2 linked regions of the Coturnix japonica genome follow. The protein of the gene in region 1 purifies or fractionates together with the protein of each later gene. This does not show direct contact. Links are inferred from orthologs where the notes say so. Each region holds a gene or a part of one and is shown on either strand. Other genes may lie near its edges. The genes, in order: NUP85 and NUP37.

What was found.
Region 2: the proteins of NUP85 (region 1) and NUP37 purify together in Homo sapiens (affinity purification with western blotting; 4 studies listed by BioGRID and IntAct, with this or other methods). This does not show direct contact. The link is inferred for Coturnix japonica from reciprocal best matches to the Homo sapiens genes NUP85 and NUP37.

The regions. Positions count from the first base shown.
Region 1 is NC_029533.1:9,354,969-9,358,888, forward strand, and holds the start of NUP85 (nuclear pore complex protein Nup85), read left to right. Parts: upstream 1-1,185; 5' UTR 1,186-1,284; coding exon 1,285-1,317; intron 1,318-1,403; coding exon 1,404-1,699; intron 1,700-1,874; coding exon 1,875-1,945; intron 1,946-2,422; coding exon 2,423-2,466; intron 2,467-2,893; coding exon 2,894-2,963; intron 2,964-3,157; exon of another isoform or gene 3,158-3,317; coding exon 3,318-3,439; exon of another isoform or gene 3,440-3,907; coding exon 3,908-3,920. UniProt on the Homo sapiens protein: Essential component of the nuclear pore complex (NPC) that seems to be required for NPC assembly and maintenance. As part of the NPC Nup107-160 subcomplex plays a role in RNA export and in tethering NUP96/Nup98 and NUP153 to the nucleus.
Region 2 is NC_029516.1:56,782,651-56,786,458, forward strand, and holds the end of NUP37 (nucleoporin Nup37), read right to left. Parts: intron 2,831-3,808; coding exon 2,649-2,830; intron 2,134-2,648; coding exon 2,083-2,133; intron 1,739-2,082; coding exon 1,645-1,738; intron 890-1,644; coding exon 776-889; 3' UTR 539-775; downstream 1-538. UniProt on the Homo sapiens protein: Component of the Nup107-160 subcomplex of the nuclear pore complex (NPC). The Nup107-160 subcomplex is required for the assembly of a functional NPC.

The sequences.
Region 1 (3,920 bases):
CCTTAAACTAATATATGGGATTCCTATTGCTAAGGCAGTCAGCCTACAGCACCTTCTCAGCCTGAACCCTGAAGGGGCGAGTGGCTTATTCGGATTTTGCTCTTCATTAATACTAGTGTAGCACCAGGAGCAGAAAAGCATTGCCGAGGTGATTGCCTGTCTCATGCTTCCCCTTTCACGATGCTTATCCTCCTTGCCTTCTCCCAAGCTATGAAATTACTTTCCAACCTTCTATTTTGTAACCCTTTATTCCCTTCCTCATTAGACCTCAAAGTTTTGCTGCTTTCTCCCATCCCCAGAAAACAGTCGTGTTCTTTTGGCTGAACCCAGAGCTGTAGCTCTCAAGTCTTTTTGAACACTGTGTACTTCCACGCTGCCATTCTGGTTGTAATTCGATTCAGTTACAGACTGGTCAGGCACAAGAGCCTTTCTGAGCCAGAGTGCAGGCTCATCTCTCTCCTAGATACACGCAGACCTCCAGCCAACCTTCCAAGAAGGACTAAGACACTGCAAACTAAACTTCACCTCTGCCAAGGTCATTTCCCTCGGCAAAAGTCACTTTCTCAAGGGCAGCAGGAGCTGCAGCCATGAAAAGCTACTGGCGTTTTTAGTCAGTGAGCAGAGGGGCTGTGTCCGTCAGCACAAAGCAGGAAAGGAGCTGCAGCTTTACATCAGCTTGTAGTTTTTCAGTCTTTGCACTGGATGGGATCCTGAGGCAGGAGGACACTGTCCCATTCCTACACCCTCACCTCAGACATCAAAACATCCTTCAACACAACGACGAAAAGGAAAATAAGAGCAGTGAGACCAACAGACACTGCCCAGGGCTCGGGCCTCTCAGCAGCGCTGGTTCAGGCTGAGCAGCACCTGCCTTTTTACTGCCCGTTACAGAGCGACCGCGGCGGGACAGCGGGACACGGCGGGACAGCGGGACACGGCGGGACAGACAGGTGGACACGACACAGCTCCGCTCCGCTCCTGCCGCGTCCCCCCCGCCCCGCTCTGCCATTACAGCGGCCCGTCCTCTCCTCCCCTCCCCTCCTCGCGTCCTCCCCCGTCCCGCCCCGCCGGGGCCTTCAATGCCGGCGCTGTTTCCGGGGCGACCGGCCGCGCCTGCCCCGAAGTGTCGGAGCCCCGTCGGTCCCGAGGGCCCGAAGCGGAGCAGCCCGCAGGGAGCCTCGCTGGCTGCCGGCTGCGGGTAACGCTGCGGAGCTCCGCGGGGCGTTGGGCAGCGGGGCGGGCAGCCGCCAGGGGCCTCAGCGCGGGCGGGAGCGCGGCGTGGCCATGGAGGAGCCCGAGACGGAGCCGCCGCTGACGGTCAGGGCCGGACCGCCCGTCCCCGTCCCTTCCTTTCCCTTCCCTTTCCTTACCTTCGCCCCCCGCTCTCCTCTCCCTTCCCGCAGGTGGTGCCGGGCGCCGACCCGGCCCGAGCTCAGCTGTGCTTCGAGTGGGGCCCCGCCGAGATGCTGCTGTGCGAGACGCTGTTCGGCCGGGGCGGCAGCGCGGGGCCGGGGCCGGCGGGATGCGGCGCTGCGGGCGGCGGGGACGGAGCGGCGGGTCCGTCGCGCGTGTTCGTGGTGCGCAGGGATCAGGACATCTACATGGAGACGCTGCGGAAGCTTTTCAACGAGTCCCACGGCATCTTCGTGGGGCTGCAGCGCTGCGAGGAGGAGCGGGCTGCCAGGGCGAGGAACGCGCAGTGAGTGGGGCCGGAACAGCCTCCTTTTGGGTGCTGAACAGTGCGTGGGACCCTGCACAGCACGGGCAGCACCCACCAGGCTGACCCTGGTTCTGGAAGCATCCACGGATGCACAGAAAAGGGACCGTAACCGAAGCAGTATCTCTCTGTAAACGATCCTTTTTGTGTTTGGCAGATTAGTCCAAGTGAGTAAAAACTACCGCTCGGTCATAAGAGCCTGCATGGAGGACATGCACCAGGCTGCCAGTAAGTCTGTTGCACTGCAGTAAAAAGATGCTACTTGTGATGATAAAAATAAGATTTCTCTTGGAAGTTGCTATAGCTACTGAAAAACAGCCCATATAAACTTCAGTAATTAACAGGATTCCATCTTCCATCATTGAGATTTCCATGTTGGTTCATCATCTCGTAACTGATTTTGGGAAGACTTGCAGTATTTTCATGTCATGACTTGTGGTTTTGTGGAAAAATGAGTCAAATTCACCAGCTTGCTCCTCTGAAACAGTGAGAGGACTCACTGTGTCTTAACATCCTTGTCCTGTAAATATACCAGATTTATAAAGAGTTCTGCAGGGTGAGCTGAGCTGTATCAGCTGTGCACACATCTGGGGCTGTACCCAGCGAGCGATCAAGGACTGTATGAATGAGCTCAGAAAGTTTTGTTGTACCTGTAAATATGCTGCTTTTTATGCTGCTTTTTGACTTGGTGTATTTTTCGCTCAGTTTCAGCCCGGGACTCTGCCCTGCACAACCAGTACAGCATTCAGGTAACGTACAGTCACATCCACGTAGTTGCATGAATATTGGTTAGTAAAGCCACAAAGACCAACACCGTGGCTGTAGTTTGTTGTTTGAACAGCACTGATGTTGCTTAGTTTGCCTTTAGTTCCTTCTGTGCTCTCTAACTCTCAGGAGATTAAAAAGGCTTCAATTAACACTTTCTGCACTGTTCTGCATTTCCCTGAGGAGCGATTACTGTTGCATTTCAATACACAAACCACCGATATTTTCTAAAATGGATGTGTATAGAGAAGTTATGGCCTGTTTCTGTCTTTTGATTATCTCTGGAATATCAATGTGACATTTCTCTTGTCTACAAAAACCCATCTCTGTGGGCAGCACATTCAGCTGTGCACTTAAAATTAAATAACAGGAACAATTATGACCCTGAAACGCAGCTCTGCTTTTTGTCAGGTTTCTATTCTCTCTGCCATGGAGCTGATCTGGAATCTGTGTGAGATTCTGTTTGTTGAAGCAGCGCCAGGTGAGCAGTGAACAGTTCTGATGTTAAGCCTGAAAGTGGTCTTGTTTGCGTAATAATCGTTTAAAATGTAGACAGCGTGCGTGGTGCTACATCTTAATGCTTACTGTGGAGTGTATGACAAGCAGCACCGAATTCTGATACCTTTTCTGCCTCAGTAAATTGCATTTTTTTGTATTAAATTATATCAGGATGCATTCTACTTTACACTGGCTTATTTATTTATTTCTCACAGAAGCATAATAAACAAAAACTTGTTCCCAGTTTATTTGACCTTAAAGCATAAGAACCTTCTTAAATTAACTGCCTGGGGACAAACAGTTTGGGAACTAACAGTGATACCTTCTCTGTGTAAAGCTGGTCCTCTCCTGCTTCGTCTCCTTGACTGGGTTCAGCTTCACATCTGTGATGTAGACAACATGGTCCGTGAAGTTCTGAGCAGCGAAAATCCATCAAAACACAAACTCTTCTGGAACGTGGTGAGTACAGCCCCCTGTCAGACGTTTAGATGAAGTCGTGCCTGTGTGTCTCGCATTCCTCTTCTCAGCACTGTAGCACATCTCAGAAACTGATACCTGAGATGCTGCTTCTGTCTTTGTAGTTTTAAGATAAAGCATTGTCAAGGTCATAGAATCACTCAGGTTGGAAAAGACCCGAAGGGTCATCAAGTCCAACTACAGCCTAACCATGCTACCCTACCTACCCAACAGCCCTCCGCTAAATCATGTCCCCGAGCACCACATCCAAATGGCTTTTAAACACATCCAGGGACAGTGACTCAACCACCATCCAATTTCATGATTCACAGAGGTTGTATATTCAAATTAGCAGGGCCTAGAGTTGAAATCTTGTAACTCTACTTGGCTTTCTTGAAGATTCTCCTGATATTCCACCTGGGTGCGTGGTAGCCCTGCACAGCTTGGTACTCACAGACGTGCTTTCTGCAGGTGGATATCTTCG
Region 2 (3,808 bases), on another chromosome or scaffold:
GCAATCTCAATTTAGAGTACATGTGACAACTCTAAAATATTAAAAAGACCTTAAATTATAACAGTAACAATTCAGTCACTGAACATTCTTCCTAAAAAATAATTTACAATGATTAATATAAATCAATAATATGAGTATCTTGGAATACGTAGTAAATAGCTCTTAGATTGCTGGTAACCCAAATAAATCTACAAATAAATACAGTTTTTGTAGGGTTCAATTTGATTTTTTATCTGTAGGTATTACAATTATTGTGATTACATCATCAGCCTCTTCACTGTTTGTGGTAATTTCTTTAATCAGCAAATACATTCACAGACAATATGTTACAACAGTACGTTACTGTCTTTCTTTCTTAAAAGACAGCAATGAATCAGGAAAGTTAAGACAAAGACACGTATTCATGCTGTAGGCACTCTGTGAGAATTTCAAAGTATTTGTGCTGGGTTAACTGAGAGACAACTGAGATTGCCAGATACAAAATCTCTTCAAATAAACAAAAAAAAAGTTACCATTAAAAAACAAATGCCACACCAAATACCATGTTGAAAAATGTGTATATTTAAAGGGAAGTAACATAGGTATCTGATTTCAGAATAGTTTTTTCATTTGCAAGCTGAAAATGAAACACAAAAGGTTTCTTATTTTATTTTTTCTTATATCCTGCAAATGAATCCAAATGAATCCTGCTACCAATCCAAAGAGTAAATGCTTTGCTTTGCTGTGAAAAAGATATCATACTCTGAAGTTCAATACTGAAGGCAAATGGCAATTTTTACATTTCTGTTACCCAGAAGAAAATTTTATGGTCACCTCCAACTGCACATAACGGAAGGGTTCTGTGCCATGTCAATCCAGATCCTACAGCTGCAGTACCAGTAAGGATGGGCTTAAAGAAAGAATAAAAAATTAAAATAAAAAAAAAGAGAAATATCAATACAGGTTACCATGTACACCACGTGTATGAAGTTACATGAACAAACTTTCACATAAAAGTGAAAAATACAGTTAAAATACAGTTAAAATACATCAGAAAAAAAATACAGTTAAAATACATCAGAAATGAAACTGAAATAACTGATAGTCTCTTCCTATGTTCCAGTAGCCGCTTAGTATAAATAAGATGTAACAACATCTTTCATGATAAATTTTTCAGCTACTTTCACTGCTTTTAACAATACTACTATTATAAAGTTATGCTTTCAAACCTAGGCATCTTTTTAATGAAATAACTTCCTGCTATTTAAGTGTAATCACAACTAACTAGTATGTTTGGCGATAATATCTTTTACTGTAAGCTCTGCAAATGTATACTGATTTCAGCAAAATCAAAAATACTCATTGTGCTTAACATGCACAGTCTTGATACATTCTCATTAATAATATAAACCTAAATGGAAGTTTTTTTCCTCCTTTTTGCATGAGACATAGCAATTGGGTAGATTAATCAGCCTTTTAAATAACATGCTAAGTATGATGTGCAATTTTTCTATAGCATGGATGAAACAATAAATAAAACAAATAGGCCAAGCAGCATTTCTGGATGGCTTTGGACTTTTTTCAGTTGAAGCTTTTAGCTAATTATGAGTCTGATTTGAAAGGAAGTGTTGCAATCCCATCCAAAAACCAAATTCAAAAGTTTACCTGGGGATGTCCTAAGTGATGAACAAGCAGTTGAGTAGTCGCCTTTCCTGGATATCCGACAGTTGCAAACAGATTTTCATTCACTCGGGACCACCTATGAATAAAATAAATGTACCTTTCAAATATCCCTACCAGACTATCAGAAGTGCTCACGAACTGAAGATTTCTCACTTGCTATTAATTGTATGAAGCCATCAGATATTCCACTGACACCAAAGAAATTCAGGGAAATGGCTTGTAAGTTATTTACTATCAAAACCCCTGTGTGCATGTTATCATGTAACAGAAAAATCATGGTCAGTCACAAATTTCACAAAGCTTATAGACCAGGTCCCCTTAAAATGATTTAGGAAACATATGTTCCTTAACTCACAAATACTTGATTATACATAGATTTATATTAGAAAGAAAATCACACAGTAAAGACAACGCTTATACCTGAATAATCTGGCTCGATCAACATGGACGGGTCTCTTGTCCTGTGGATAACTAAAACAGACATTCCATGTAAAAAGCCCTTCTGCAAACAACTACAGATCATACTGCAAGTATCAAAACAATTCTTTTTTAACACTGAAGAGGAAATATGGTCTACTCTCTGTGAAGAAGTTGATGGAAAACTTGAGCTTTTCTTCAGCTTACATTTCACTTCAGAGTAGGAAAAAATGAAGTAATTAGTGACTTTACTATGTTTCAACAACTAGATATTTATGACTTAGAATGAAATGTTAATAAACAAGTTTCACAAACAGGAGAGATGTTGTCTCAAATGGACAAAAAGGAAACATGTTACTTTAACAGATAGAAGTAAGCAAGAAAAAGTATGGCAAGAAATGACCTGTACTGATTTTATAATTTTTGATGAATACTTACTATTAACTGAATAGGTGATGCTATAAAATTATACTATAAAATTATAGCAATTAAATGCTATATTAGCAAAGTAGTCACATCTCTTCACGTGCTGCTTAAGGAACAAATACTCTCCTACATGTAAAAAATACCTGGAATGAGAGATATCCCAGATTAGCCAGTCACTTCCAGCAACTGCTCCAATTCTGAGCGTATTCTTTAAACACCAGTCTGCTGACATCAGCGGTGTTTGTTCACACTCTAAGGAGAGAATGGCCTGGTGTGTAACTAGGTCATAGAATCGTATTGTTCCATTTTTCTCTGCTACCATCAGCTGTAAGAGGAAATAATAAAACCTTGTAAACCTAGCACGTAAAAAATCTTTGCAAGCTTTTCCACTCTAAAGCAAACCTAGAGTCTTTTCAAGGACATAATAATCTATGGACTTCAGCACTTTTAATTATACTCCTATGACACTGTACACAGTGATTACATGATTTCATCTATATATACATACGTATACATATGTATATGTATGTATGCTTTGGTGTATAGCAGCGCAAGTTCTCAACCACTTTGTTCTGAGTACAAGGAACTGACTAACAGAGATTGTGCTGTACAGGAAACAATGATATCAATCAATGTAACTGTAATATCTGCATTCACACTTACTGATTTTGTATACCAACACTGGCTAGTAGCAAACAACAGCATATATTCAATTTTGATACCACTTGAATGAACAGTTCTCCTGATTTTCTTTGTAAGGACCATATATTCATGGGAAGCATAAAGAGAATTCACATCCTTATGCCCTGCTGCTATTTAACTATTTTGATACCTGATTTGATTGCTTATTCTTTTTTCTGTTAGAAGCATGTGTTTCTGTAATAATCTGAAAAACTATGTGTAGATACTTAAGGTAGTTATTGACACAAAAGAAATAATAAATCCTAAATTGCAAGGATTAGACCATTAATGAAGTTGAACTTGGTGTATCCCTTCTGGTACAAAAAACAGATAAGTAGAAAATCATAATTTTTTATTTGATTTTTCAGCATGTTTCATGTATTCCAAGCAAGAAAGACAAAACCAAAAATCTCTTGGTAATTTCAAACAGATATTTGGCTTGCCTTACAGGAGTCTGTTATTGGTGAGTCCTGTTACCATGACTAATATTAACTTTTCTTTGATAACTGTAAGTTAATGTGCAACCAGCAGAATAGTAATCAACAATAATTGATGCATGTAATCAAGAAAGAGCATTTCTGATGGGATGAACAAGGGACTCAGAGCAAAAAGAGAAGAATAA